4 linked regions of the Saccharomyces cerevisiae S288C genome follow. The gene in region 3 interacts genetically with the main gene of each other region. Each region holds a gene or a part of one and is shown on either strand. Other genes may lie near its edges. The genes, in order: CHS7, LRG1, SHE4 and ECM33.

Region 1 (7,301 bases), on a different chromosome or scaffold from region 3:
AACTGTAGATTCTGACAATGTACTCGCCGGAACATTTTGATATATATAGGTGATGTAATTTCCATATGAAAAATACTAAAGACTTGTGATGAATTCATGAAATGAGTGGGGAAGAATCAGTATCCTTAGTAAGAGGTAACTAATAAAATTAAGTTATAGTATACACATTGTATATAATAGTTGAAACTACAAAATGAAAAGATCATGAGAAAAAAACAAAATAAAGAAATTAGGAAACTTAGTCGTTATAACAACACGAGGAAAAATGAATAAATAATACTGTCTTTTTACTATTTTTAACAAAAAATAATGGAAAAAATACGCCTGAGAAAACAAATAGAAAAGAATGCACCACCATTATGCCTAAGCGCTAAATGGTAACCGTAGCATAAATTGTGTTTGTACTAGTTATAGTGGTGGCGGCATCAACGGATTGAGACGGGTTAGTTAAGTAGACAGTACTATAGTAGTCATCATCATCATAAAAAACGTAACAAGTGCCATCCGAGCTGGAGACGGATATCGATTGCGTAGAAGACGATTCTAATGGCATGGATGTCGTTGCTCTAGACGTTGTATCTACGCTAGAAGAGGGTACCAGTGTAGAGGTAGTTCTTGCTATAGTGGACCCTGTTTGGGATGACTCAACTGCGGAAGTGGAAGACGATGACGCCAAAGTTAGTTGAGAGTTTCCGCTTTTTGAGCTCGATGGTGCCAAGGTAATAATAGTGGCGAAAGAAGAAGAAGAAGAAGAAGAAGAAGTTAAGGAAAGAGGGGCAGATGATGATGATGTTGAAAATGATGAGGATGATGTTTCAGAAGATGAAGATGAAGAAAGTTGGGAAGAGAAAGGTGCAGTAGATGAAACAAAAGCAGAACTAGAAGTCAAACGAAAACCTGAAGACGCAGATGGTTCGGCTGTAGCGGAAGATGTACCTGACGATTCGATACTTTGAGATGATTCGATATCGTATGTAGAGCTAGAGGATGTTGAAGAACCAGATGAAATCGTTGGACTGATAGTGGAAACAGTAGAAGTAGAAACCAATGAGTTTGTTTGAGTAGCACTAACTTGTTCTGAAGCTGACACCGTTGAAACCTCTGTTATCTTTTCAGTAGTGGAAGAAACGACGGAATTAGCTAAAGTAATCGGATATACCCTTGTAGTAGTATATGAAATCGTTTTAACCACAACCCTTGCCGGCGCAAGAGTCTTTGTGTAGACAGCATAACTGTAAACAATACCATCAGAAGTAATAAGTTTGACTGTTTCCCCATTGCTGTTGGCTTCAATTAAGGTGAATAAAAAGAATAAGATATTGAAAATTGTAGAAAAATTAAATTTCATTTCTTTGTAATTTGTTAAAGGAGTGGCTTTATTTCTACTCTGTGAAAGAGATCTGTGTTAAAAAATATTAAGGAATGACTGTGGTTAGCTCTACTGAAGAGTTACAATAAAATGTAGTAAGGAATGACTAGAGTTAGCTTAAAACCCGAAAATATAATTCAAAAAATAATAACGCTTGAGGGAGTGGCTTTAGTTGGAATTGAAACAGTATATTCTTTGTTTCAGGCTCGCTGTCTACTTAATGGAAGTCGATATTGCTGGTTTACTTGAAGTTTTTCAATAGACATCGAATAAGCAGAAGAGGAAGAATGAATGAAACATTAGATAAGTTTCCTCTTATATACCGAGTATGAGTTAACGAGTTTCCTGTCATCTTTTGGGAGAACTTTTTACATTAACAGGCAACCAAGACATTGCTGGTTCTTTTATGTTTTGTTTTTCCAATTTAAACGAATGAATTACTGGTTCTTATTTTATTCAAACGATTTTCCAGATAATCTATCCCCTTTCTTCTAAGATATTCCTACAACTATCAAGCATTGTTCACAGTTCTCTTTTTTTTTTTCAGAATACATTATTTACTTTTCGCAAAGTATTTGTTTACATTCGGGCAGAACTGTAAACAGAAAAGAGACCAGCGGAAAGGCCTAAACCCGCAGCGTTGCGAAAATAAGATGATGCTTTTCGTAGAACCCTCTCATGGAAAAGTAGTCATGAACATATGAGCGACTTTAAAACATTGGAAACAGATTAAGAAGTTTTGTTTTCAATTGACTAAAGAAGGATAATTTGTCATCTTACTTAATAAACTACGGGAACGACCATCACGTTTCTTTTATGGATATGGTTGTTTCCGCTGATAAAAGAAGTCACTACGCTGATTGACTGTCAAAGTGTACACAAGCCGTTAAAACGTGGAAACGGCTACTTTCACTCTTTGGTTTGTCATAGTCCTGCTTATTACATTAAACTAATAGTATACACCTATTTTCTATATATGGTAATAGAAAAAAGAAGCATTTCACATAAATCCATTATCATACACCACGTCACCGTCCTTGCTAACACTTACACCAAATTCCAAGTCGTCGTCGGTAGTCATATCCCAAGTCTTGTAAACCATCATTAATGTGAACACATTACAGATGCTTCCAAAAAAGAGGCCATCTAAGTAGTGCTTGAACCCTTCACAAATTTGTGTAGAGAAGGCATAAACCAATACCTGGCCTGCTACAAAGAAAAATAGCCCCAAAAAGATAGCTCCTGTGACCCATAAGTTTCGAACTACCAATAGGGATACCAGTAATTGACAAATAACGAAAACGAATAAGAAAATGGCGTTTATTATGTAAACGACGACAATCATCCCTGAAGCGTTCATTGTTGCTACTTTATGGTCGGTGATCCATGCTTTGAAGGTTAAAATAGAGGCTAAAAAATTGGCTATGAATCCTAGCATGGACGTTCCACGGACCAACAGCATGGACTTTGTAGTCCCATCTTCCCATAAATTGAAACCTAAAAACCCGATTATCAATAAGGCCCAGCAACATGCACCCGCCAGTCCTATTTGTATAGCCACGAAGTATGGATATGACCCAGAGCCGGGGGGAGATACACCACAGTCTACCACCAAGGTAAATATTATCAATAGCAATGTTAGTTGGAAAAAGTAGAGATATTCAGACCTGCCAATAGCAGTATACTTCTGTCTTATGTTATAAAGTATGATTAAAATGACACCTAGAGCACCAATATTTATGAATGCGTTCCCGACATCAAAGATGACTGTATTGGCAAGATCAATCGACCGAGCATAACAGCGTGGCAGTACACCGACATTCAAATTTAAAGGATCAAAATCATGTATAATTGTTGAGTTCGAAAGTATTAGATGGGTTTTAGACTTTATTACCGAACATAATGGCAACGGGGTCTTTGAGCATATGGCAGCAAAATCACTAAATGCCATATTATATATATATCAGCTTTTGTATTAACAAAACCACAATTTTTGATAATAGTTTTGATGAAATAAACTTTCCACGTGGAGACAGCTTTGAAAAAACAGTTCAAAGTATGCCAGTGTAGCTTTGACTTTTTTTAATCTTTTTAGTTAAGTTATGCAATATGCTATTTTTATACCAAAATGGATCCTTTTTGATTTCGTGTCTTGTGAAACTTTTTCAATATTTAACCGTTTTAAGAAAGCGAAGCGGGCAACACCAGAAGAATGTCAATAACTTACTGTAACAACATAAAACATGGCATTTTAAATAGTACTGCCAAAATTTAATGCAATGGCAATTAGTTGGCTATGTTGCTACATATTATTTTCCATAGCATTCTCTGTCACAAACTTCAAAATAAAAGACAGTGACATCCGAACATCCGATACACCCATACATCATGAAAATAAATCCTGACATTGGAAGAAGTCTTGATACAAAAAAAGATCGCTGTCAAAAATGCGGCCAGACTGCCGCTGCATCGTACCAACAGTGCGTATGTTCAGACGGAGAGACGACCTCTAGAGAGACGTCCGTCGGTGCGGCAACGCTGACGGTTTAGTTGTTCGACGGGATGATGGGTTCCGCCAGGGGGAGGGAAGGCTTTCCACCAAGAGAGGTAAAATTATTCGTCGAAATGAACTCAGAGATACATCCATATTGTTGACAATGTATATCTTAATTGATGTGGTATTTTCACTGTTTTAACGTAAATTGAAGGAGATTAAGCAAAAAAACAATCAGTAATAATGGGTATGTGGACGATTAGGAATAGACAAACCATGTTATTTATCTCCATTAGGGCGTGAGAGTGTAATTAGTACACAGGTACTACTAGAATGCTAAAGAACTTTTTAAAATATCCTGAATCGTAGGGCAAATCCATGTCAAGCAAGAAACTAATAGTTATTAAACTTCATTTACTTTTGAGCTAGTTAAATATTTTCATCATTTCCTAAAGTACTGAACACCTGAATGATACTTTTATTGGCCCTTTTAATAAGAACTCTGGTTAGAAAATATATTGAGGATATCATTAGTAATACTCATTAGATATTTGTGAATTTAGCCGTTTCCCCATTACAGAAAAAAGATACAACTAATTACATGTGCAGTCAAATTACTTTTTTTTTAAGATCAATTACTAACAATCAACTATCATGCTAAATTTGCTGTGATATCATTTTGAACCAGTTAACGTCCCAAAGACCAGAAAGACCTACTGTAAGGGTAAGACCTGTCGTAAGCACACTCAACACAAGGTTACTCAATACAAAGCTGGTAAGGCTTCCTTGTTCGCTCAAGGTAAGAGACGTTATGACCGTAAACAATCTGGTTTCGGTGGTCAAACCAAGCCTGTTTTCCACAAGAAAGCTAAGACTACCAAGAAGGTTGTTTTGAGATTGGAATGTGTCAAATGTAAGACTAGAGCCCAATTAACCTTGAAGAGATGTAAGCACTTCGAATTGGGTGGTGAAAAGAAGCAAAAGGGTCAAGCTTTGCAATTCTGAGAGTTGTTATTGTTTATTGTTTTATTATATTTTTATAGTTATACTTTGACCATTAACTTTTTGTAAATTTTGCATACTTAACTCTTTAATATTGAAAACCTGCCTATTTGGCGTAATTTTTCATCCTGCCTTTGAACCTGTTGTAAACGTTCGCGTTGGCAACCATGATAAGTTAACAAGACACGTAGGCGTTCGCACTAAAACACAGCATTGCTACTAAAGTACGTTACTAAGAACCAGTAAAAATAAATATGTATAAATAAAATGTAGATACAGCTGATTCCCAATATCTCATTTCAGAAATGATCAACACCAGGCGCCCAGCAACGTTCAATCTATCTACGCTTCAGTACTACTAAAAGTGGGAAAAACGTGGGCTTTTAGTCATTCCCTGCAATTTTAAGAAAACTGCATATACTAGTAGTACATTCGCGATATAATTATGATGTTGGCCTTTTTAAAACAAAAACCAAAAGGAATTTGATTATAACAAAACTAAAGAGGTGTGGAAAATTAATACAAACCTTCGACTTTTTATAGTGCGGTTCCTACACTTTTTTTTTTTCCCGCTTACCCTGGTGATTGATTTTTTGGGTTCCGTTGTAGGGCTAGCACGAAAATAAGAATTAAGTAGCAAAATTTGAGATTTGCTCACTTTACATACAAAGAGCTTAAATAGTAGTATACTAGTAGTAATGCTAATTCTTATCACCTTTCTTTGCCGACTTCTTGATGTATTTTGGCGGAAACTTTTGATAAAATACATAATAAGCCCACGTAATAGTAGCAACAACAACAAATATAATCGACTTGTACGGCTCGTTCACGTCTAGAAACGGGTATGGATAGGCTTGGCCTTGCCCCGCATCTATCAGGAATGCTAAATATTGAAAATATGAAAATGCTAAACTGGTTACAATGAGCCATGCATGCTTATTCGATAATTTGAATTTCGTGCCAGATCCCGATAAGTAGTGATCGGCTAGTAAATATAAAATAGGATATAAGTGGATTGCCATATCCACTGTCATAGGAAAAGGTGTCTTTGCAGTAGATTCAACTCCATGCATTATTAAGTTGACAAAAAACAATCTAAGCGGCCAATAAACGGTAGCAACAATAGATTCTAATACTAAAGAAACTGGCAAAGTGACATGTCTACTAATAAAGTCTGATTTTTTCTTGGTTTCTAGATTCATCTTATTGTTTCTTTGGATATAATAATTAGAAATGTTAACCGCGTTATTAATGATTGTTGCAATAATAGATATAATGGTTAGAAACTGTTTATGGCCTGCTTTACTTAAACTTGGAGGTAAGACTACAGATGTGGCCCTAACAAACCCCCAGGTGCTCGTCAAAAGACACGCGGTGTTAAGGGTCAAAGTAAAACGTGTTGGTACCAGACAAGACATCATGGATTCTCCTTGTATTATGGTTTTAAAATACGAGAAAAATTTGCTAAGAATACAGCAAGACTAGTGTAGAGATAATCACTGACATATAGAAAGTGACTTATATAATTCGAGAAAAAAGGGACTTATATACTTATCGGAGATCTTTTCATTAAATGCGAAGCGCAGACTTCTCTAATCCGCGGATCTTGTCAAATTTAATGAGCAAGTCTGAAAAGGAAAAGAGAGCGATCATTATTTTTAATTGTCGCTTAAACAAAGGATTATATGTCACTTCTGCATGCGTTTCACGCTCTGTTTTTAGATGCTGCAAACAGGAACCTCTTATAGAATTTGTATCCCCAAAAATGATAGCATTTGTTCAAATAGATGGACGCTATTTGACAAAAATGTTAACATGTGACATTCACGTCAGAAAAGAGGCCAAAGAAGGAAGAGGGTACCAGCAAATACATAAACTTTCCTAAGGAATAGGTTAAGTTCTTTTATTCTGCATGTGTGGATGCTTAAGGTCATTTTAACGAATGGGTCCATTAGCCCCGCGCCTTTTTCAGGTCAGCGAACGCTTATAATTCCAAGCCATCTCATGTTATCTCATTATTTTAATGTGAGCGAATATGCTTTTTTTTTTTCAATTGCTGCTATGAGATTATTGCTTCCATTACTAATGGTAGGGTTCAAGGAGGCTGAAAAACTGGATGGAAACGGAAATGAAAAATAAGGGGGAGGCGTAACGGTGGCAACGCTGCATAGTGAACAATTCATTACCTATTTATCATTTTTAGTTGGAATTTGGCCACCTTATGGCACATTTACCATTTGAGGGATCTGAAGATCAAGTCCGCCTTAAGGGTGCATATCATGCGTCATTTGTCTGCGTTAAGGTGCAGACGCTTCCCTTGAAAATCGCCGAAAGAAGCTAAGCCGAAGTGACACGGGCCTTTTCCTGCGTCAAAAGAAGCCGATGATCTACCAGAAAAAGATCATTCAACAGTTAAGGGCTACAGTAGTTCTCAGC
Region 2 (8,969 bases), on a different chromosome or scaffold from region 3:
GTTCAGGACCGGTTTCGCAAAGAAATTAAAAAAATTAGAGAAGAAAAAATTACAGACTTTCAAAACAAAAACGCTAGCAAGAAGGAGAAGAATGAAGTGACTAGTGCCAAAACTAAATGTAAAGCTTTTTCTCAAAGAAATATTTTAGTTTCGGAACTATACAGGAAGCAAAAACAAATCCTAAACTTGCAGCAAGAAAATGATAAATTTCTAAAAGATATTAACGAATCGAATAACTCTATAGTAAAATTAAGATCTGAAGTTGAAATACTGAAAAGCAATTTGCAACTTTCTCAAGATGAAAATAAAAAATTACATGATAATGGTTCGTTTTACGAGAAAAGGTTAAATGATGTTTACAGCTATATGCAAAATCTTTCTCTTTTTGAGAAAGACCTTGGTAAATTCATACTAGAAGAAATGAAATGTGGCCATTCCCCTTCGATGTTTCAAAACGGTTTTGCCAAGCTTTATCCGGATTTTCAAGATATCAAAAATCTTGAAAATATGGAGCAATACAAACAATTAAAAGGAAAGATAGAACTTTTGGAAAAGAATGACCGTATACGTCTTGAAAAAATCATTTCTGTCTTTAAATTGATTAATGAAAGATTACATTTTATGCAACAGCAGCACAGTCACAAAATAAAATATCTTCAAAAAGAGGCGTTAACAAAAGAACAACAATTTCGTTTGGAAAAAAGGAGATGGCATGATATCCTGAACCTCAAGGAAGAAAACTTTCAAAAACTGAAGAGCGAGTTAAAAGAAAAATTAATACTAAGTGAAAAAATTCAGAAAAATGCCGAAGATAAATTGAACGATTACATGAATGAACACCAGGAAATTGTTGAGAAACTTCAGAATCAGGCTTTGATTGCTTCAAGATGGAGCACTCAAATTCAAGAGTCAGAAAACACACATAAGAAAATTACTGACGAGTTAGCTGGAAAACAAAGTGAAATATTAAAACTCGAAGAAACAATTCTATCACTAAAAGAAGATGTATTCCAAGAGAAGCTGAATTTAAAAAAACTATATGGTGATCCTTCTACCGAACTTAATTTTGAAACTGTTGGAAAATCTTTTCCACATATAACGAAGGAAAAGTACGACTCCTTGGGTCTTGATATTCTGACAGACCTTACCTATGTGCAATCGCAAAATCTAATCAAAAATTTATTAATTGTGTTGGATATCCCATTAAAAACCTTCTTAAAAATTGTACCAACAATTGTCATTCAACTTAGATGTGAGCTTACACTTCTCACAAAATTTGCTAATGATTTGAACCTTAAGGTTTTTGGTAAACAGTTAGATTTCAAAAGTAGAAGAAAGGTCGCAATGAATGAGTTTTTGAACAATCATGATATTGCTGAAGTAAAGCATCCTCTTGAGTATGATTTGCAAGCGTTGTTTAAATATTTCTTTTCTTAGCTTTTTTTTTTTTATTTAGAACTAATATATTCAATGGTGTCATTAATTATTATTTAGAGAATAAGTTACTGGTGGGGGGTGCACCTAAAATAAAGTCACATAATATAGAGCATGGCAGATATTTTACCGCTGGTATTGCTTTTCCGAAATTTTGGTGGAATATTCTTCTGAAAGATTTCAATTTGCTAACAGACTTCTTAAGCACTTACAAGAACAATGTAACTTCTGATCTGCTGTTGGAGATGTTCTGAGATATAAACAAAATTTACATCAAAAGGCGAGTAATACAATGATACAAATGATTATAAGTACATACTAATGTTACAATTTCTAATTCCATTTTAGTCAGAATATACTATGTTGTATAATAATAAAATAATGTCCATTTCCATAGCATACTGGTAAGATTTTATTGAAATAGGCAAAGAAAAAAGCAAAGAACTCTAATAAGAACGACAAACCTCGAAATCTGAGGGGAAGGAGAAGAAAAAAAGGAAAATGAGGGGAAACTTACAGTTTCTGCCTATTATTTGTTTATTTCACCTTGTATGACCGTTGTGGTCGAATCTTTGACTGTGACAGGAGTTTTTATGTCACATTCGGAATAATCGATTGTTTTACTTTGCATAACGGTGGAAATAAAATGGTTGATTGATTCGTAGTTATCTAATTTTTGTAACTGCACATCTTTTAAAAGATTCATTAAAAATTTCGGAACCATTGCCATTTCTTCATTGTGAGTAATCAGGTAATCAACTATCTCAATAGCCAAAAAGTAATTTTCTCCCTTGTTTTGAGCGAATGAATCAACTAAACCTGATTCTGGTTCGTCAGGGACGTTATCATTGGAAATTTCTTTATGTCGCAAATATAAAATATTAGGTGTTATGACTGTGGATAAATTGTGAATGTCCATTTTTGATCCCATTTCATTCTCAATGTAAGAGAATGAGGACGTCCAATGCAAAAATGACAAAAGTGCCTCCAGTAAATTGCGATTGTAAGTGGGTAATAAGGAATATATTAGCAATATAACACGCTGTTTCTCATCCTCTAAATCAATTTTCGCGGCCTTAATCCATAGTTCATATAAGTCTGTCGATAAAATCGGTTGGGGAAGCTCTCTGATAAATTTCTTCAAAAGAGCAGATAATTGGATTGCATTTTCTTTCGAGAAGTCTGGAGCTTCTGTTGGATTACTGTCGATGTTAGCAGTTAGTTCTCTCAGTCTTCTGATATTTCCATTTTTCCTGAAAATACCTTCTACTGACATATCCATTTGCCTCAAAGATGATATTAGCTCGTCAATAATTATGGGGATCCTAATCTTCACTGGCCCCACACCTAAATCGGAATCAACACCCCATTTCTCGCACAACACATCTAAAGGAGCACCAAAAACAGTCTTAGTGATGGGCTTTTTAGGCTCCATGCTCATCATGATTTTCATTCTGTTCCAAAAGCTACCTGTGACTTGCTTTTCATTCGAGAAGACCATTGAGACTAAGCTAGTATAGTTAGGATCAGTCTTCGATATCAGTTGTTTACCAGCTAGCAGTGACAAACTGATAGCCCTTATCATCGAGAGTTCCATCGTACTTAATTCAGAGTAATAAACTCCGCTTTTCTTGGGAACAACATTCGAAGTTTCGTCATCGGTTTCTTTTAGTTTTTTAAAGTGTGCAAAAGCGTTAGGTCTTAGCTCCCTTGCTTGTTCAGCGGCAACAATACGTGAAATATCATCTAGTGTCAACGTCTTAGTATTACTGAAAACATTTTCACGTGTGCTCACTTGTTGGCTCGATGATGGGTCATCTGTTTGAATCACAAGATTTTTACTATCTCCTTGTTTTGTCGGGTCATTTAAATCTGTCTCTGCAGTTTCCAGTATCACTGATTTTCTAGCTTGTTGTTTGTTATGAGTGACCCGAACACTTTCTCTTCTAGATCTCAATCTTTTAATATCATTCAGTGTCCTAATGTAAGTTTGTTCCTTTAGCATAGTACTCTGTAAAGAGTTTCTGCCTACCTTGTTAGATGCTTTCGATTTCAACATTACAGTTCTTGATTTGACTAGGGCAATTTTTAGAAGAAAAATTAGTTGTGCTAGCTTAGTAACAAATTTGAAACCCGGCACAGAGGCCGGATCATCAATTGAGCAGTGAGAACATAGTATCTTTTTTTTCTCTTTATTAAAGGTGGGATCCGTCAAACTCCTCGGATTTATATTCTTATGGCATGAAGAACAAGTAAAACAAGCAATATGCCACCGGTGCTCATAAAATTGAATGCATTCCTCCTGTATGTATTTATTGCATCCAGCGCAACTATCTGTGGCGTTAACAGGAGTCTTTATATACTGAAACGGGTTATTTTCAAAAAGCTCATTTTTCTCTACTTCTCTTAAAAACCTCAACAATGGATTAACAGAATGAGTCAACTTATTGTTTTCTAGAGCCGTATATAGCCCAAATCTTGTTAACAGTTTTAGAAAATGGGCTAATCCAGTAATAACAGACATAAAAGATGAAATTGTGATAGTTTCGTTTTTGTTTTCTGTCCCTAACTTTCTTAAGAGTTGTAAATATATCATAATTTTTGTGGACAGATTTTTGGGAAACTTGCTGTATTTACTGGCCGCCATTGCGTTGTTTTCAATGCATTCTTGATCACTGTTAACTGGCATACTTTTGTTCGTCGAGAGGTTTAAAGTATCCAGTCCCCGGAAAAGACAGTCGATTTTTAGTACCAACAGACCCGTAGACTCTATGCCCTTTAACTGATCATTGCTTGTCAAATATTGAAACATATCAGAAATGCAAGAAGCTGCCTCTTCCTCAAAACGATATAAAACCGACCACGTTTTAGATAGAATAAAGTTAAACGCCTGCATTTGTTTATCTAACTCGTAGGCAGTTGGGTTTATATCTTTGTCTCCGGAATTTGGGTTATATTCCAGCTTGGGAAGGTACTGCAAACCAACAGTTTCTGCTGCTAAATTTACATGCCAATATTTATGAATTCCATAACATTCCGGATGCCAACAATGTATTTCTTCACCTTTAGGAAACTCGATATATTGATCCGATATTGGGAACTCGCACCCTTTGCAACGTTTCGAAAAATACTTGAGAAAGTGGTACTTGCAATACAATTGGTTTCCGTACATGAAGCATTTTTTAACCCCACAAGGAGTAGCACATATTGTACAAGAAAAATGCTCTTCGTCGTATCTGTAACCGAATGCGGTATAATATAATCCACGCAATGGGGTATCACATACATGACATAACAAATTATGTCTTCTAAAATAATCGTATTGGCATAACAATATAGATTCACTTGTCTTGTCTACTTGATATGGGAAGTACTTCGGTTTTAAAGGTTTCTGACAGTCTTGGCAGGTAAAACAACTTTCATGATAATATTTACCGAGAGCCTTTAAAGTTGTTTTAGTTCGTTGGCTATCGGGTATAACTAACTTGTTACAACGGGCGCATATTTTCTTCTGATTCTTCACCTGCACGGTCATCGGAGATGCAGTATTCAGCGATCGATAACCAGCAGAATTTTGAATCATTGCTCACCTCCGGTACTTGTTGTTTGATAATTTGTCTGCTCTTTTTTTCTTTGGATTTGAATAAATACGGTTGCGTATATCTGGGATAAAGGCCAAATAACAATGTTAAGGCAAAGACGGATACTGTTTTGAATGAGAAGCCCAATTGCTGGTTTCTAGCAAGAACAGCCTTGGTTGGCTCGAGAGGAATGATTTACATATTTTAAATTCTCAAATGACGTTTCAGATTCTGTTCTTATTTGTTTTCCATTTTGTTTACATCTTCCGTGCCCATCAATACCCGGCATACTTTGAAGACGAAAAAGATACTTACATAAAGATAAGGATATACTCGCCAAGATCGATTTCTTGAAGTAAATACTTTGTGGGGAGGTGTTGTAGCGATGGGCTAACCTGCAAGCATTAAGTTATATTTACTAGTGAGGTACGTTGTAGAAAAGTGCGTTACAACGAGAAGTAATTCAAACGTAAGTAGCACATGCGGGCTTCTTGATATATTTGCTAGCTCAAAAAGCTAACTGAGTACAACATGGGGGCCACCCATGTTGATTATGTTCTGGTCGTAAAGTGATCTTTTACGGGTTATATTGTTTGCCCATAATTTCAGTTTTGAGGTGCCTATCGCTTCTTCTCGTTTTGTTTTGGGAACGTTTGAGTATTTACTTTATAGTGCACTTTTTTGCGTTTTCATCTCTTGACTGTTCGAAAACCAATGTTGGTGAAGGAAATAGCTAAGTATGACCTCGCCTTAAACCAATCTTAGTATCCTGTCTCTTTGCCACAGCTATTTCCTACTTCCATTAAGATCAATTTCTTTGCTATTGGAATCACAGGCGACTTAGAATGCATTTTCTATACTAGTAATTCGCAATTTTCTTGTTTTCCACAACGGTTTAATACTAAGCAGATGATATGACAATATGGCAAACATGATATACAGAAGAGAGCTTAATGGGACCAACTAAAGTTAGATGACACCATGGTCCAATTTTCTGAGCATGAACAACGGCAGAACAATAGCTGAACTGGACCGATTTGATTTTTGAACAGGAAATCTGTAATTTTTTATGCTTTGTTTTATGTAGCGATTTTATGATTATTGTTAATTATACATCTCACAAAAGCCAAGAAGAAATCTGAAAAAGTGAGCCCACACGTAGACTATTTGACGCTCATGAAAGTTGTCAAGCCTTGTGTTAGCGTTAACGTACTTCATTTAAAACATGGCCGCTTCGTGAGAAGTGGAAGCATAGTATCGATATTTTCTATAATCTAAATTATTTTAGTGCCCATAATGCAGTATACTGTATCGTATAGGAGTTCTGACTTGCTAATGTAACACAGTAGACTTCACCTTCACTTATGGATACCATTGGCTTATTAAGACATCAGAGTTCATTAAATGAATAGTAACAATCCTTGCGCAAAAAAAGGCGTCGATGACGCACTTTTGCGTTCAAGTTTTATATACTTGGAAAGCTATGACTGATGAGACGGACCTGTTTCGCATAGAAATTCGGTGCTTAACATGTAATTGCACCTTTGTTTTTGAGAAATCCATGAATTTCGCGGTAAAGGCTCGATTAATGATTATTCTATATATATGTACTATAAGCCGATTATCGCAGTTTTTCCAGCCTCCTTAGTAAATTACCCACTGTTTTAAGATGAGTCCTACTGACGGGTTACATTTTTATAGTCTTTCTTCTCAGGCGACCCAAAGTTCTGTCTGACTGTCTCGTATTATATGTAGAAACGATAAAAAATTATATGGTGGCTACTGCGACCACCAATCCAAAGTGTCATACCTTGAGAATTAGACAATTGTATACAACACTAGCATGAACAGTATGGTAAATTTGGCGAGAGAATGAGAAGGCCTTGTATTATGTATTCCCGCATTGGTTTCTGTACCTTTCCCTTGCAGAAAACCACATGCATAAAAGTCGCTTGCCACATAACTCGCATTTGTGAAGCCATGCGAACCACACGTAAACGTTTCAGGACTTTCAGCAGGCTGCCCAGTGAGAAATGTATCATAAAAAATTGAATAAGTTGGGTTCTTTTCTTTAGCAGTTTTCTTTCCTTCAGCTACCCCACAATTATAAATTTCTGTCGGCGTATAGGTTTGATTAATATAGCCCTTGCTACCGCACTTAAACAATAGAGCATTTTCAGTTACGTTCATTTTTTTGTGTCTCTATTATAGATTTTTCTTGGGTGTGATGCAAAAATCGCTGATAGGAATTATAATAAAGGAATATATATATATATATATATATATATATATATATATAGGTACTAATTGGCTTTTCTTATACGCCTCCTATTGATTCACTGCCGAAAGTGCCCTGTTATATACGACAATCATACGCCTGTTTGCAAATAGTCAACATATTCAACTCGGAAGGTAAAAGATGAAAAGGCAATTTTTTTGATTTTCTAAGAAAATGCGCAGCGGGCAGAAGGGTCTTCGCAGGCAACTGAGTAAAGAATATGAGAAAAGCCTCTAAATGTTGAACCCTGAAAAAGTTTCATCTATTTTTGATAAAGACTTTTCAATAGTGCAGGATCACGCAAGAAAAAAAAAGGTCCTTAAGAGCAATTGTGGGAAAATATAATACAATGCTTGCGTTAAAACTTCTAGTTACCTTTTACAACCGAAAGTAAACACTAGCATGGGCTTGGAGACGAGCAGCGCAAATTATATAGTTTGAGATAGAACGCTTTCTCCGGTATTGCCTGGGGAAAAGGAGTCACATGATTAGAATCGGCGAAATTTTTTTTCCAAAATTAACAGCAGGGTTGTCTGGATGTTTTATTGAAAATAGAAGCCAATGACAAACACAAGAGGCCAGTAGTATATTAATTTTAATGTGCATTCTAAAGCATCCTCACGTCTTTCAATCTGAAGTTACTGTTCGAGAAGGAGAAGAAAAGAAGGAAAAATGAAGGATATGAATAATAACATGAGTACTAGTTACGTCCAATCTGGTCACACCATATATTGATGCATCTTATGCGCCATAACTTCTTTTTTTGTAGCTATAATTTGTTGCCAGAAAAATGAAAACTTTTCAAAATCAACCAGTTTCCAATTTTTCTGCAACTCGTTATTTATGAAGATAGATGATGATTGACCCCCTTTCTCCAAAAATCGATGCAGCATTGGGTTATTTTTTGAGCTTTCTAATTATAGGGCCATTTTCTAGCAAGACTGTATAGCACATGCTCGCAAAGAACATGGCGTAATGTTCATAAGAAACAAATTTTGTAAGTTTCTTGTGCCTTTTGAGTTTGAAATCATTGACCAGAACAATGAGAACTCTAAACACGACAAATGGATCTTAAATCAATTTTCTTGAAAACATCTTCCAGTTTCGATATTCGCACATTTGCCGGTAAAATAGTGCAATCTGCCTATACCTTTAAAATGGGATCTTGAACGCGTACCTGAAGGTTTTTTTAAATAAGGCCGAACCTAAATGTTGCCTTCAAAATTAACCTGTATCAAATTTTGAAGCCGAAGTTGGTATCCTCACATTGTCTAACCTCATGGTCTCCTAAAGTCCGGCGATCACTTTCCGTTGCGTGACTATTGATGATCAGACTGTCAACAATGTCGTTCCGGGCCTCCATAGCTTGAAGAATTTTCGTTGACGGAACTAGAGGAATGGCAGATGGAGATGACCTTAGTTTCATGTCGCCTTGATAGTTATCAAAGAGTACAGAAACAAGACGTCTCTTGCTCAATAATAAGGATTGGATCAGGTGCTTACAAATTTTATTCGTCATACAAACAATTACTAATATTTTTTTAATATTAAGCGTACCCCTATTTGATTGGCTCTCTTCTAAATTCATACGTTTTAAAATCCGCTTTCAACCGTCAACATAAAATTAGTAAGCAGACCTCGTTCCAAGACCCAACTAAGTTGCACTAAATATCCTC
Region 3 (7,384 bases):
AACCCTCCTACTGGTCCCTGATTAAGATCGTATTTTCTTCCAGATATGCTACTAATATAACTTTCGGGGCCGCATACCAATGCCAACACAGGCATAATATTCTTGTTGTTAACGTTGGAAAAGGGGAGCAGACCTTTGTATGGGTAGGGCTTCGTGATTGATTTCTGGATACTTTTCAATACGTCTTGTTTAGTTTGTCGGTCTGTTTCAAAAATTTTTAACTGGACCCTGTTTGAAGCTTGAAGTCTTAAAAGGATAGGATACAAGGGTCCCAGTTGTTTAATGTTCTTATCCGTATGAAATAACTTTATAGTACCTCTAAATGGTGATTCAGTCAAAAGTAGTTGCAACGCAGTAACTATTCCGGTACCAGCGGTGAACATCATTATGTCATAAGGCTGGTAAATAAATTGGGAATTTTCTCTAACGTTATTGCCCCTTTCATTGCGATTATCCATGTATAAACAATCGCGAGATCTTTTTAGCTCATTAGGCAAATGAGGAAACTCATAATCGATAAACGGGCCTCTTATTTCAATTATATGTCCCTTGGGAAGATGGTGTAACCATCTTGCAACTTCTCCATTCTCATACTTCTTAATATAGAAAGATAATTTTCCATCTGCATTGTCACCATCTTTTAAGATTTCAATCTCTTTTGAAGCTGGGTTAAATTTAAGCGGTAGAGGCGTATAATTGCGGACCACCATGACTTCCGGTTGTTTGATCTCGACGGACCACAGATTTTCCGCAGTCATCAATGACCATATGTTAACTTTCTGCTTAAACAACGGAGTTACTTCCAATAAAAAATGTGATGAATCAATATCTCGCTTGTGTGAAATCTTGTACTTGACAAAATAAGATGGAGATAACTCATGTTTGTTTTCCCTCTCACTTGTGTACCTGTAGGTTAAATAACTGCTTACTGCTCCAACTGTCAGTAGGCAGCCTGTGATAAAAAAGTTCTTAGAGAAGCTGCTCTTTCTAGGTGACTTATGAAGCCTACGTGTTATTCGGGAACTGGATAGAACATAATTTTTCCACAGCATGCTACTTTTTCTTTTTTTCGTTTCCTCTTTTCTATTTTTGAAGGGTTCTTTCAACACGTTGCACTCTTCGAAGTTGTATTTTTCACTTGGGTTAAGTGAATTTTCACTCTTCATTAGGGTATGATGATATTAACAACATTTCAGAAGGGCAAGGAAAGGCGAAAAACTGAATTATGGAATATACTCTCTCTTTGCGGCTGGTTAAGATGCGACGGCGTAGAAATATTATGAGAGAGCCCATGCATTGTACAGTGAAAGTGCAAAACAAGTTCATTAACACGAATCTGTTTTAAGTGTATATATTATGTATATGATATTTGACGACGTGTGTTGGTTTGGTTTACAATTTCATAATGAGAAAAATAAAAAGAAGCATTACGAGAAGCACAATCAACAAATACACCCTCCATCTGCTCGTACGTTTTTGGTACCGCATGGCCTTCCTTAGCTCGTCTGAAGCCAATTGAGTGTTATCTGACGTTGTATAAATATTTGCTTCAATATTGTCAACTAGCACACCCTGCTGTTGAACAACACTTCCCAAATCTTTAAAAACTTCGTTCAGTTCCGTTATACCTCTTTCAATATTGCTGATTTCCTGGTCTCTTTGCTCGATAAGATTTTGCTGATAAGCAAACTCTTCGTTATTTATCGGGTCTCTCTCAATGACTATTTGGCTGCCTGGTATTCGAGTACTTTTTGAGCTATTCTGCCTTTGTTCTTCATCTAATAAAGCAGCATCATTTGCCATCTCACTTGCTTCAAGAGATTCTTTTGCTCTTTCATTAACTTGTTTCATTACTTGGGTAAACTGCCGCTGAATACCTTGAAACTCTTGAAAAGAGTAACTGACATCCCTCACAAGTTTCTCTCTCGCTATTATTTGAGTCTTATCCAGGCTAGCTTCCTCAATCGCATCCATCTTTTTCACTGATGTATTGACCTTTTTAATGAGCCCGCCTATTTCTTCTATCTTTGCCACAGATCTCTTATTAATTCTTTCCACAACTTTCGCACTAACATCTCCCCGATCTATAAATGACTTAAGTGTCGCGGTAAACTGCTGCAGCGTGCTTATTTGCCCATTTATTTCAAATAACTCTGCAGCAACCTCTTCTTTCAACGTTTGGAACTCAGGTGAATCACTGAATCTGGAACCGTTCCAAACGGCTTCATTATCACCACCAAAAAATTCGTCTTCCGACATCTCAACACAATTATTGTAGTAATTTACGTTATATTCTTCTATAAAAGCATTCTCTTTGGAGTGATAGCAGGCCTGTTTTATAGGGGATTATACTCTGGCGCAGTAGTTCATCGTCGATCATGATGATTATCAGCCGCGATAAGGCACGAAGGCTTAAATCCAATTACGAATCTTCTACTTAATAGTGAAGACGTTTTATCTAAACTACTCACATGAAAAGATTACTAAAAAATTAGAATCACGATGCCACTGTGTGAGAAAGGGAATGATCCAATCGATAGCTCTACTATTGATAGCCTCTGCGCTGCATTTGACAAGACTTTGAAATCCACCCCTGATGTCCAAAAATACAATGATGCTATAAATACAATTTTCCAGCTAAGGCAAAAATCTGAATCTGGGAAAATGCCGGCTGATTTAACGAATAGTGAAGCCCTTAAAGATCGTCAGAAAATCGAAGAAATATTGACCAGGTCTTACCAAGACCATTCTGAGTCCCGCGTACATTTATCTAAACTTATACAGAATGATATTCCCTTCGCACTCAATTTATTTGAAATATTATCAAGATCATCCATCCACGTTTTCGTTGGTTGCTTTTCCAATAAAGACGCAACAATTGCATTGTTAAATGAGCTGCAAATTAGGATACACTATGGCGAGGACACCCACGTCACGTATTTACTGAGCATAATTCTACAACTATTGAATAAGTTCAAGTACAATTTCAAGGAGGTGCGATTTTTAGTGAAGGAACTTATTTTGCGCATAAGCGAAGATGAAGTAAAATCGATGATGCTTATAATTTTTGCTGAATTACAATCAAGCTTCCAAAAAGACTTTGATAAAGCAGTGGTCGATTTCATGAGTAGCTTAATTGTGGAGGCAGAAATAGACGTTGGAAATGATCCATTGTCCATCATAGTCAAAACCCTATCAGAATTATATCCTTCATTGACAACACTTTGTTCTGAAATATTTTTGACCAAAGGACTAAGTAAGCTTTTTAAGAAGAGAGTATTCGAAGAGCAGGATTTACAGTTTACAAAAGAACTGCTGCGGTTATTATCTTCCGCGTGTATTGATGAGACCATGAGAACGTATATTACAGAAAATTACCTTCAACTATTGGAAAGATCACTAAACGTGGAAGATGTACAAATATATTCTGCATTGGTGTTAGTTAAGACATGGTCTTTCACAAAATTAACGTGTATAAACTTGAAGCAACTGTCCGAAATCTTTATAAACGCTATTTCAAGACGTATCATGCCAAAAATTGAAAATGTCAATGAAAGTGCGGTTAAGCTCGAGGAGGTTCCTAAAGTTGAAATGTCCGTTGAAGCGCTGGCATATTTAAGTCTAAAGGCCTCGGTTAAGATTATGATTAGGAGTAACGAGAGCTTTACTGAAATTCTATTAACTATGATTAAAAGCCAGAAAATGACGCACTGTTTATATGGTCTCTTAGTTATCATGGCAAATTTGTCCACTTTACCAGAGGAATCCAATGGTAGTTCACAGTCTATCAATGACTTAAAAAATTACGCAGATTTGAAGGGCCCAGGCGCAGACAAGGTAGGCGCAGAGAAAGAATCAAAGGAAGATATTCTTTTGTTTAACGAAAAGTACATATTAAGGACCGAGCTGATTTCCTTTTTGAAGAGGGAAATGCACAATTTGAGCCCCAATTGTAAACAACAAGTGGTTAGGGTTATATATAACATAACCCGCTCGAAAAACTTCATTCCTCAATGCATTTCACAAGGTGGTACAACTATCATCTTAGAATATTTGGCCAATAAGCAGGACATAGGGGAGCCAATACGGATTCTAGGGTGTCGGGCATTAACAAGAATGCTAATATTCACTAATCCGGGTTTGATATTTAAAAAATACTCTGCATTAAACGCTATCCCCTTCTTGTTCGAATTGTTGCCAAGGTCTACGCCAGTGGATGACAATCCGTTACATAACGACGAACAAATAAAGCTGACAGACAATTACGAGGCACTATTAGCTCTGACGAACTTGGCATCATCGGAGACCTCTGATGGTGAAGAAGTTTGCAAGCATATCGTATCTACAAAAGTATATTGGTCCACGATTGAGAATCTGATGCTAGACGAAAACGTTCCTTTGCAAAGATCAACATTAGAGCTCATAAGTAATATGATGAGTCATCCATTAACGATTGCTGCTAAGTTCTTTAACTTGGAAAATCCTCAGAGTTTGAGAAATTTTAATATATTGGTGAAACTTCTTCAGTTATCCGACGTTGAGTCTCAACGAGCAGTGGCTGCTATCTTTGCTAACATTGCCACCACGATTCCATTGATAGCTAAGGAACTGTTAACCAAGAAAGAACTAATCGAAAATGCTATTCAGGTATTTGCGGATCAAATTGATGACATTGAGTTAAGACAAAGGTTACTTATGCTTTTTTTTGGATTATTCGAAGTGATACCGGATAATGGCACTAACGAGGTGTATCCGTTGCTGCAAGAAAATCAAAAATTAAAGGATGCTTTAAATATGTCTTTAAAGAGAGGCGATTCAGGACCAGAGTTTTCAGCGGCAATTCCCGTTATCCTTGCTAAAATTAAAGTCTAATATGGAAAGAATCGCCATGTTTAACTCTTCTTAATTTTCACTAAGAAATACAACAGCACCCTGATAATGAACACACAAGAACTATGTAAGATTTTCGTAGCCAGAGAATATCCTCTGGTAGTGGTGCCCTTTATATATTTTGTTCTATTTTTACACCAGAAGTATCACACTACTCTAAATTATGTCTGGTACCCTACGTGTTCTAAAAGAATCTGGGTGAGAGAAAAAGGAAGAAAGTGCTCCTTTTTTTTTTTTTCAAAGGTGCCTCGGTCCGATGGCTTCGCAAACAATAGATGCCAAAGGAAATGATCTTCTCTTTTTCGCTTCTTTATTTTTTTTTAAGTTACGACTTCGTGCAGCCTGGGATGTACCAAGCTTGTTGTTAAACGAGCCTGACTTCTTAATCGCTTAATCTTAGTTGAATTTAGTAGTTCCAGTTTGTATGGCTGCTATTTTTGAGTATTTGGAATCATCTTTCGTTCAGCGATCTTTTTATCATTCACTTTGTCGTTTACAATTAGAAAGCGTCAAAACTTTGCATTTTTCATTTAATAATAACTGAACTCCACCAACTTTTTACTAGCAAGTTGTAAAGTTCATCGGTCAGATAAACATCTTAATTACCTGTGAAATACTCTACTGTTTCTTATGACCAGTATGTCAATTATTGATGATGAGAACGTGAAAAAAACTTCTAATGGGGCAGCTGTTGTCACTGATGTGGCTCAACACGCTGTAAGTGATTCGGACAATAACAAAGCGCAACTTCTAGGCGATGGATCCAACACTGAATATGTGGTTGATATTTTCATTGAAGCCGCTAAGGATGGGGATTTAAAAGTGGTGAAGGACGTGGTCGAAAGTGGAGCAGTGGATATTAATAACGACCGCATTGATGAATTATCCGGCTTACACTGGGCCTGTATAAACAATAGGTTTTCTGTAGCAAAGTTCCTATTACTTAGGGGAGCAAATCCTAACCAGGCGGCAGGCCCCGGAGGGGCTACTGCTTTGCACTGGGCCGCAAGGTACGGTAATATCTACATTGTTGACCTGCTTCTCAAACATGGCGCTGATCCGACGCTCAAAGATGAGCAGGGTCTTAACATCATGCATTTTAGCGTTTACAGTTCTAACATTTTACTTGTTGTTTATGTTCTTTATTTTGTCGTAAACAACAATGACAACGTCGATATCGATTCAAAAGATAACAATAACAGAACACCCCTACTTTGGGCTGCTTATCAAGGAGATTTTCTCACTGTAGAACTTTTATTGAAATTTGGCTCCACAGTTGCATGGACGGACAACAGAGGGTTCAATGCTCTCCATTGTGCTCTAGTTGGAGGTGATCAAAGGGTCATATGTGACTTAATACTTAGCGGTGCAAATTTCTACGAAAGGAATAACCAGAAGCAAGACTGTTTTGATCTAGCCGAAGGAATGGGAACCAAATCACTTTTTGAACAAGCGTTGCAACATCATGGATATGACAGGCTTGGAAATCAGAAAGACAAACTGTTCAAGAAAAGCTCGCATGCACAATTCACAATTTTTTTGTCACCATTTTTACTCATGGTTTACATATACTTAATTTCTCTCGTTCTTTCTCCAGTGCTAGCCATTATGCTTTCCCTACTGGTCACTGTTGTCATGGTCAACACATTAAAGAAGTTTGTATTACCATGCCTTCCCAGAAAAAACACTTACAAAGTTTCTTTGACTAGAACTCCCTTTTTCAGTGGCCTCTTTCTGTCCACTTTCTGTTTTTTAATATATATATGGACGAAGAAACTCTATCCATATAGTGTATCTGACTATACCATGAAAAACGTCCAGTTTTTGGTTACTTCCTTTCTCACAGTTGTACTATTTCTGAGATTAGTACGGTCAGATCCTGGTTGTCTGAAAACGGATGATAGTTTGACTTCGATACAAGAAACAATAAAACAACTGATTGACTTAGGGAAGTTTGATAGGGAAAACTTTTGTGTTGAGACATTAGAAAGGAAGCCTTTGAGGAGTAAATATTCTTTCTTTAGCGGCGCCCTGGTGGCCAGATATGACCATTATTGTCCATGGATTTATAATGATGTTGGCTTAAAAAATCACAAACTTTTTGTCTTCTTTGCTGTGACGGTCCAATATCACATGTTTTTGTTCATGTGGTTATGTCTGGCATATTTTAAGAAAACGAACTATATTTACGAACAAGTTGAAGAATATGCAAGATGTGCCCTGCTCAAGAATGAGACTTTGTGTAAGGGTTCTAATTACGATCCCTCTACCTTTTTTTTATTCATTTGGATTAGCGTAAACTTCATCTGGCTGGGGGCTATGTTGATTGTCCAGTTCTTCCAGATATTAAAAGGAATCACGACTCCTGAATTGTTCATCTTAATCAAGGAGGAGCACAAGGCAAAATTTATCAATCTGATACCCTTCGAAAACTCTATATATACCAGTGAAAGTAAAGGTGTTGAAGATAGTGATATGATTCCTGAAGGTCCAA
Region 4 (7,666 bases), on a different chromosome or scaffold from region 3:
ACGTCATTATGAGAAGGGTTTTTGTTGCTGCCTCTCAAAAATTCACTACTGTCTCCCAGTCCGAATTATACAAGCTCGCTACCCTACCTGCTCCGTTAGACTTATCTGCTTGGGACATCGAAAAATCGCTGTTACAAGCTGCTGTGGAAGATTATGTTTCAATTACCATCGATCATGAATCTGCTAAGGTTACATTCGCTAAAGATCCATTTGACATTTTCGCATCAACTGCTTCTAAAGAAGTCTCTGAAGAAGAAAACACAGAGCCAGAAGTCCAAGAAGAAAAGGAGGAAACTGACGAAGCTCTTGGGCCACAAGAAACTGAAGACGGTGAAGAAAAGGAAGAAGAATCTGATCCTGTTATTATCCGCAATTCTTACATCCACAACAAGTTGCTTGAATTATCCAATGTCCTACACGATGTTGACAGTTTCAACAATGCTTCATACATGGAAAAGGTTAGAATTGCCCGTGAAACTTTAATTAAGAAGAACAAGGATGACCTTGAAAAGATTTCCAAGATTGTTGACGAACGTGTCAAGAGATCTCAAGAGCAAAAGCAAAAACATATGGAACATGCTGCCCTACATGCTGAACAGGATGCTGAGGTCAGACAACAGCGTATTTTGGAAGAAAAAGCTGCTATTGAAGCTAAATTGGAAGAAGAGGCTCACCGTCGCTTAATTGAAAAGAAGAAACGTGAATTTGAAGCTATCAAAGAAAGAGAAATCACAAAGATGATTACTGAGGTGAATGCTAAGGGACATGTTTACATTGACCCTAACGAAGCTAAAAGCTTAGATCTTGACACCATTAAACAGGTTATTATAGCTGAGGTATCAAAGAACAAGAGTGAATTGGAAAGTCGTATGGAATATGCTATGAAGAAGTTAGATCATACGGAAAGAGCTTTGAGAAAGGTCGAATTGCCATTGCTGCAAAAAGAAGTTGACAAGCTACAAGAAACAGACACAGCAAATTATGAAGCTATGAAGAAAAAAATTGTCGACGCCGCCAAGGCCGAATACGAAGCCAGAATGGCTGATCGTAAGAACTTGGTCATGGTCTATGATGATTATTTGAAGTTCAAGGAGCATGTTTCGGGCACTAAGGAAAGCGAATTAGCTGCCATCCGCAACCAAAAGAAGGCTGAATTGGAAGCTGCCAAAAAGGCCAGAATTGAAGAAGTTCGTAAGCGTCGTTACGAGGAAGCCATTGCAAGGCGTAAGGAAGAAATTGCAAATGCTGAAAGACAGAAGCGTGCTCAAGAACTCGCTGAGGCTACCCGTAAACAAAGAGAAATCGAAGAAGCTGCTGCCAAGAAATCAACTCCATACTCTTTCCGCGCAGGAAACAGGGAACCTCCAAGTACACCAAGCACTCTACCAAAGGCGACCGTTTCTCCAGATAAAGCTAAATTGGATATGATCGCTCAAAAACAAAGAGAAATGGAAGAAGCCATCGAACAGAGACTAGCCGGTAGAACAGCTGGTGGGTCCTCCCCAGCTACTCCAGCTACTCCAGCAACCCCAGCAACCCCAACTCCATCTTCTGGTCCAAAGAAAATGACTATGGCTGAAAAGTTGAGAGCCAAGAGATTGGCCAAGGGGGGCAGGTAACAGACAACGCAAAATGATCTACTTAATTTATACCGTTTTTTATACGTATAAGAGTATGTGTACATAATAACAATTTATTAGACTATTTCTTTCTGATTGCTTTTTCATGTCAAAGGAAGGAGCAGAAGAGCAGTAAAGATGGCAGTTATTTTAAAAACGAATTTCGAGAAATAGTTGGTATAAATAACTATAAATAACGTTTTACTGTTTTAAAAAAGCGATCCGTTAAAAGGCCCTAACGATTCTTTAGAAACTTGAAACGTTAGCGGAAGAGCACTTTGTTTTAAACCGTAGTAAGAATTTTTTTATATTTTATTTCATTTACTTATTTTTTTTTTTTCTTTACTCCTTTTTTTTATGTTACTTAGACAAATTTCATTATATTAGGTAAAGCTAAAGGATGGTAAAAAGTCTGAGTGGTTCTTTTAATTAAGGTAGCAAAAGTTGATGAAACTGGAACTTCAAAACAGTAATAATATAGTAACAATAAGAAATAAAAGAGATATTAACGACACTAAAATTTTATCTACATATAAAATTCAGTGATGAACCAACCGTCTCATAATAAAAAAGGAATGGTAAAGAAATCATTAGAGAAGAAATTAAAGTAATAATAGAAACACAAATTGTTGCTTTAATCTTATAGTAAGGCAACGCCAACAGCAGCAACGACACCCATGAATGAAGTGGCTGGAACAAGTTCTGGAGCAGCACCCTTAGACTTCTTAGAAGAAGAGGAAGAAGAGCTAGCGGAAGCTGAAACGTTAGCTTGAGCATTGGAGGCATCACCACTAGAAGAAGCGGAAGATGTAGCAGAGCTCTTGGATGATTCAGTAGAAGTAGAGGATAGCTTAACGGAGGTAGATGTGGCACCGTTCTTGCAAACAAAAGAGTCACCTTGAATAGCACCGTTACTTTGCAACTTCTTCAAAGCGTTACAGGAGAAGTTACTGGAAGAAGAGTCGAAGTTAGCACCACCTCTAACAGACTTCAAAGAAGATAAGTCCAAGGTTGAGAAGTTACCAGTAACTTCAATGGCACCACCAACAGTTTGAACCTTGTTAAAACCGTCAATGACCTTCAATTGTGTGTTGTTAGCAATGATGAAACCACCACCAACAGTAGTCAAGTTACTGAAAGCGGCCTTGGATAATTCATCGTTGGAGACGATAGACAAAGATTGACCAACCTTGCTCAATTGGGTCAAGTTCAAACTTGGCAAAGTGTTGTTAATGAAACCTAAGGAAGCGTTAACAGTTTGCAAACTACCGAAAGAAATAGAGTTAACATCTCTCAAAGTGATGTTGTTAGCCCAGACCAAATTGTCGAAGGCCAAAGTAGTGTTGTCACCGTTGGAAGAGAATTGTAAAGAGTCAGAGACACTTTCCAAGGAAGATTGGAAAGAGTTTAGATATCTGTTGTTGTTGATGTTAAAAACATTAACCTTCTTCAAAGTGGAGAAACCTTCGACACTTTCCAAAGTGGTGTCAGAAACAATAATGTTGTTAGCATTTTGTAAATCGGTGGAGAAGGTAGAAATGGCAGGCAAAGTCACCATGTTAATGGAGTCTACTTCTTGCAAAGAACCGAAAGAAGCACTGGTCAAAATGATCAATTCTTGCATGTTCAAATCACCGGTGATTTTCTTGATAGAGTCAGCGGAGAAAGAAGATAAAGAACTGGAGTTGAAGATAGTCAAGGAACCATCAATCTCTTGGATACTAGCCAAAGCAGCGGAACCCAAGTCACCGGTGATGGTCAAGTTACCAACAATGGTACTACAACCGGAGATTTTGTCCAAATCAGCTTGAGCAGTAGCAGTGGCAGAAGTACCAATACTACATGAAGATGGAATAGAAGTAGTTGAGTTAGCTGCTTAGATAAAGAAAAGTAGTGTTAGTATTCCCGATCGATTTATACATGTATTATTCTGTTTCATTACTCGCCCTAATCCTATGACAGGCAGAAATATTGAAGAATATTCCAAAACCATCCTCACGAGATCTCGAAACCCGTTTCCTCTTTTGGAAATTTTTTTTTTTCGCATTGTCCGTCCGCGTCAATCGAGACCTATGAAAAAAAGCCCAGTAATCGACAAAGAAAAAAGAAAAGAATGAAGAGGACCACGAATCTACTCGAGATTTGTGAGGAAAGAGGCAAATAAAGAAAAAAAGATGAAAAAAAAGGAGAATGTGTACATACCAGCTAGAGCGGAGGCACTTAGAATAGCAGTAGCAGTCAAAGCGTTCTTGAATTGCATTGCGGAATAATAGTAAAATTAAAACTAGATCTTTAAAAGTCAAATAAACGTATTCTTGATAGCTCAAAGGGACTTGTTGAAAGAAAAATGGAAAAGATTAAACTGTGTAGAAGCGAATGAACGATTAACTCTTTTATTTAATTTCTTTTCTAAAAGTGGCCGAAGTACTCAAAGATGATGTTCTAAAAAGAAGAGAAAGGGTGAAAAGCCAAGAAAGATAAAGAAGGAAAGAAAATGCAGAGGAAAGATCTTCACATATTAAATACAAAAATGCAAGAGAGGTCCGTTGATTGCGAAAAGTCGTAGGTGTTTGACATTGAATATTTATACCGGCTCAAGCACGCTACCGAAAATTTTTCAGTTCGATCTGAGGTTTGTACTTTTGATTTCGATCCCAGGAGGGATGGTTGTTTACTGCACGTTGCCTTTGTTTGTTGTGGTAACGCGGTTTCAGTCCTGTCTCTAGTGCCTGGCCACTGAGAATGAGCGCGTGGGCCAGAAACGGTGGCGCGTCTTTCCCGTTTTTGCACTCCATTTCATTTCTTTTTCGCGAGGGCGCAGCAGCCACCCGGGTCGTGAAGGATGATACTGCCCGCCATCCTTTTTTTTTTGCGGTTTACGGTAATTCGCAGATTTTACGTTGATAATGATATGAATGGTGCCCTCTGGGTAACAGGTGAATATGGAGAGAGAGACGAAGAAAAAGAAAAACAATTGCTTCATTTGGCATATAAGCTAAAAAGACTCTAATGAATTAATTAAGGGAAGATAAGAAGAAAAAAAAAAGGCAGTTATCAGCAGCAAACGGTATCCAAAATATTGAAGCAATATGGTGATGCTCCATTCTAAAAACGTTAAAGGGTTTCTGGAAAACACTTTGAAACCGTATGATTTGCATTCGGTAGACTTCAAGACATCGTCTTTGCAATCGTCTATGATTATAACCGCCACTAATGGGGGTATACTGTCCTATGCGACGTCAAACAACGATGTACCGAAAAATTCCATAAACGAAATAAACTCGGTCAATAACTTGAAAATGATGAGCTTATTGATTAAGGATAAGTGGTCAGAGGATGAAAACGATACTGAGGAACAGCACTCCAATAGCTGTTACCCTGTGGAAATCGACTCCTTTAAGACAAAAATATATACTTACGAAATGGAAGATTTACATACCTGTGTCGCACAGATACCCAATAGCGACCTTTTGCTATTGTTCATTGCGGAAGGTAGCTTCCCTTACGGACTACTGGTAATTAAAATTGAAAGAGCTATGAGAGAGTTGACTGATTTGTTTGGCTACAAGCTAGGTTGATGGGTTTAACAATATGTATCGAGGCCACACCTTTTCATGCGTCTCCGGATGGGGGCTGGAAAAAACAATGCGAACAGTCTATAAATAAACACATTTTCGCAGGGACAGAGTTTACGCAGACACGCCATTTACATAAGCTTGATTACGCGGATTGCCGTGGTGCACTTTCGTGCACTCGCACATATATATGCACGTACATAAGGGCCTCATCTTCCTCTCCTTTTTTTCCCCCATCTACCTATCGCTGTTATTGAACGGAAGCATCTTCTTTTTTTATTATGCTCAGAGGGCCCTACATGACAGCTTTTTTTTCCCCAATGAGCTGCTACGGTGCCAGATCTGCTTATGTTCATTATTTTGGATGGTAACCGTTATAAATTTAAAGCGTTTCTTCGCTAGGATGGTGAATATTAGTATTTATCAGCCGTCTCGTAATCGTTTAGTTCGTTACTAGCGGCAAATTTTGTTTGATTTGTTATATGATCATTTATTTTTAATATCTTGCGTACACAATCAATTGCTTTTTGTTATAACTTGGACATATAAACATTTCGTTCGGAACGTGGCTAAGTCGCATTGGATGTAGTGTGTAAAATAATTCTCGTATATACCTTCAATGTCTTCTCTATTGCGTGTTTGAATATACGACATCCCATTATAATCAGCATTGAGGTTTCTTAGAGACTCGAAATCCTGAAAGGAATCCCTAATGATTTCATCGTATTCACACCAACCCAAACGGATCCAATTTTCGCAGTGGGGGCATTTCACATGGATTCTCCTAAATCCCCCGTTCAACGTTTGAGTGTAGTAGGCCAAAGGAGAGGGAATGATGGATACAGTAAGAGAGTTCAAAATTTTTTTGCTAAACTCTGGCTCTTTTAATACTTGAATTTTGAAATTAAGTTTTCCCTGGATTTTTAACAGCTTAGACTCGAAATGGTATAAAGTGTGAGGCTTAAATTCAGACAAAATGCCGTGCGCAAAGAATAAATGTTTTAGGTAGTTTTCAGCTAGAATCCAATTATTCCCCTGGCAAAATCTGCACATCAATTCCTTTTTCTTTTCAGAGTATCGCATGTATTTATACATTATCAGAGAATCCAGACTGTTGGGGTTTGACTCTTCGGTATTGGATCTACTAGTATTGTATAGTGCCTGTACACATGCTGAGGGGGGACAATTTTGATTTCTTTTTATTTTATAACCAAATTCGGAGTATCTGTCTTTCATCCAGCCTCGGATACTGTGATGTTGGAAACACCTTGGAAGAAAAATCAGTTGCTTAGAAATACTTTTAAACACATGCTTACAATCAGTGTTGGCTTTACCAAAGTCAAAATTTTCGCTATCGTTGAATATTTTCCTTTGTGGGAATATTTTGTTCTTGATGGTTTTTCTTTTGAGTGATCCACTATTATTGGATACATTCGTGGTGTCCGTTAAAACCCTCGAAAGAGTGGATGTTGAAGAGTCAGGTCTTTTAGACTGTGTAAATTCAGCATTACTGTCTATCCAAAAATCCACACCATTTGTTTCTTCAATACGTTGTGCGGGAAAAAAGTAGCCATAGTCCATCTTAAGGCTTTTAAATAGCTAATATTAAATACTGTTAGGATAGCAAGAGTGGGTGATTTATTCGTTAGAAATATACGAGTCAATAAAGTCTAGTACCGAATTAATGTATTAGCGAACAAATTCTTGTGGTTTTTTATGAAATCATCACTACTTCAATGTGTTAAGGTGTATTTTCGAAACATTTTTCGGCGCTGCCAGTAAGACGTACGACCCTTTTTTTAGTGTCAGTAACTATAAAATTATGACGTCCGAGAATAGCGTAGAAATTAAAAAGGGTAACAATGATATCTAGCAGCTTTCAAAAAAGGGAAGGGCGGCACAGAACCTTACATTGGACAATGCTTTGCCTTCACTTATACGATATTTTGCATTTTTTTGCTATCAAGATTTGGTTAATACTGTATCGTGTAAATTGAGATCCCACCTCCAAAACTTGCTTTTGGACAAAGCGATATATTAAAATAACTTAAATATCCGCTTAACCAAGCTCTTGATCCAAACGATATCCGGCTATAGTCAATCACAATCCCTGAAGAACCATTTCCAAGACCATTATCTTTATACTTAATAAATATATAGATTTACAGGTTATTTGTATATCGCTAGCATTATTGCGTGCTATTTTCTAATAGTTACTGGAGGGTTATATAATTTAGGACTTTATAAAAACGAGCATTGTATGCACTTGCAGCAGTGTAGAACTTATCTGACGAAACATGTTTCTTACTTTGTTAACTGATATCATTAGTGATTTTCAATACCGTCTGAATATCCACTATAGCTGTCTTTAGCGCTACGAAGAGAGCACCGTAGAATGGTTCCAGACGGATTCTTGGCCAGTAAAGTACATTCATAAGTTAAACTCAATAGTTTTTCCTTTTGTTACGAAAA

Evidence for each region.
Region 1: mutations in SHE4 (region 3) and CHS7 together harm fitness more than expected from each alone (negative genetic interaction), as found in Saccharomyces cerevisiae (4 studies listed by BioGRID, with this or other methods).
Region 2: mutations in SHE4 (region 3) and LRG1 together harm fitness more than expected from each alone (negative genetic interaction), as found in Saccharomyces cerevisiae (2 studies listed by BioGRID).
Region 4: mutations in SHE4 (region 3) and ECM33 together harm fitness more than expected from each alone (negative genetic interaction), as found in Saccharomyces cerevisiae (2 studies listed by BioGRID).

What each region holds. Positions count from the first base shown.
Region 1 is NC_001140.6:379,557-386,857, reverse strand, and holds CHS7 (Chs7p), read right to left. Parts: upstream 3,321-7,301; coding exon 2,370-3,320; downstream 1-2,369. Other genes in the region: DSE2 (Dse2p), read right to left, coding at 371-1,348; 60S ribosomal protein eL42 RPL42B, read left to right, coding at 4,107-4,110, 4,552-4,868; YHR140W (uncharacterized protein), read right to left, coding at 5,567-6,286; YHR139C-A (uncharacterized protein), read left to right, coding at 6,439-6,750. UniProt on the Saccharomyces cerevisiae protein: Chaperone required for the export of the chitin synthase CHS3 from the endoplasmic reticulum.
Region 2 is NC_001136.10:18,871-27,839, reverse strand, and holds LRG1 (GTPase-activating protein LRG1), read right to left. Parts: upstream 5,018-8,969; coding exon 1,964-5,017; downstream 1-1,963. Other genes in the region: ADY3 (Ady3p), read left to right, coding at 1-1,437; YDL241W (uncharacterized protein), read right to left, coding at 6,834-7,205; YDL242W (uncharacterized protein), read right to left, coding at 8,528-8,881. UniProt on the Saccharomyces cerevisiae protein: Acts in signal transduction. Activates CDC42, RHO1 and RHO2. Negatively regulates 1,3-beta-glucan synthesis. May be responsible for the down-regulation of CDC42 during mating.
Region 3 is NC_001147.6:395,223-402,606, reverse strand, and holds SHE4 (She4p), read left to right. Parts: upstream 1-2,502; coding exon 2,503-4,872; downstream 4,873-7,384. Other genes in the region: CYC2 (oxidoreductase), read right to left, coding at 1-1,052; SNAP receptor PEP12, read right to left, coding at 1,393-2,259; YOR034C-A (uncharacterized protein), read left to right, coding at 4,939-5,181; putative palmitoyltransferase AKR2, read left to right, coding at 5,521-7,384. UniProt on the Saccharomyces cerevisiae protein: Required for mother cell-specific ho expression. Might be required for the transport of factors (such as ASH1) that promote HO repression from the mother cell into its bud.
Region 4 is NC_001134.8:389,336-397,001, reverse strand, and holds ECM33 (Ecm33p), read right to left. Parts: upstream 3,880-7,666; coding exon 3,822-3,879; intron 3,492-3,821; coding exon 2,260-3,491; downstream 1-2,259. Other genes in the region: RPG1 (translation initiation factor eIF3 core subunit a), read left to right, coding at 1-1,619; SLM4 (Slm4p), read left to right, coding at 4,709-5,197; ECM8 (Ecm8p), read right to left, coding at 5,711-6,775. UniProt on the Saccharomyces cerevisiae protein: Required for proper cell wall integrity and for the correct assembly of the mannoprotein outer layer of the cell wall. Important for apical bud growth.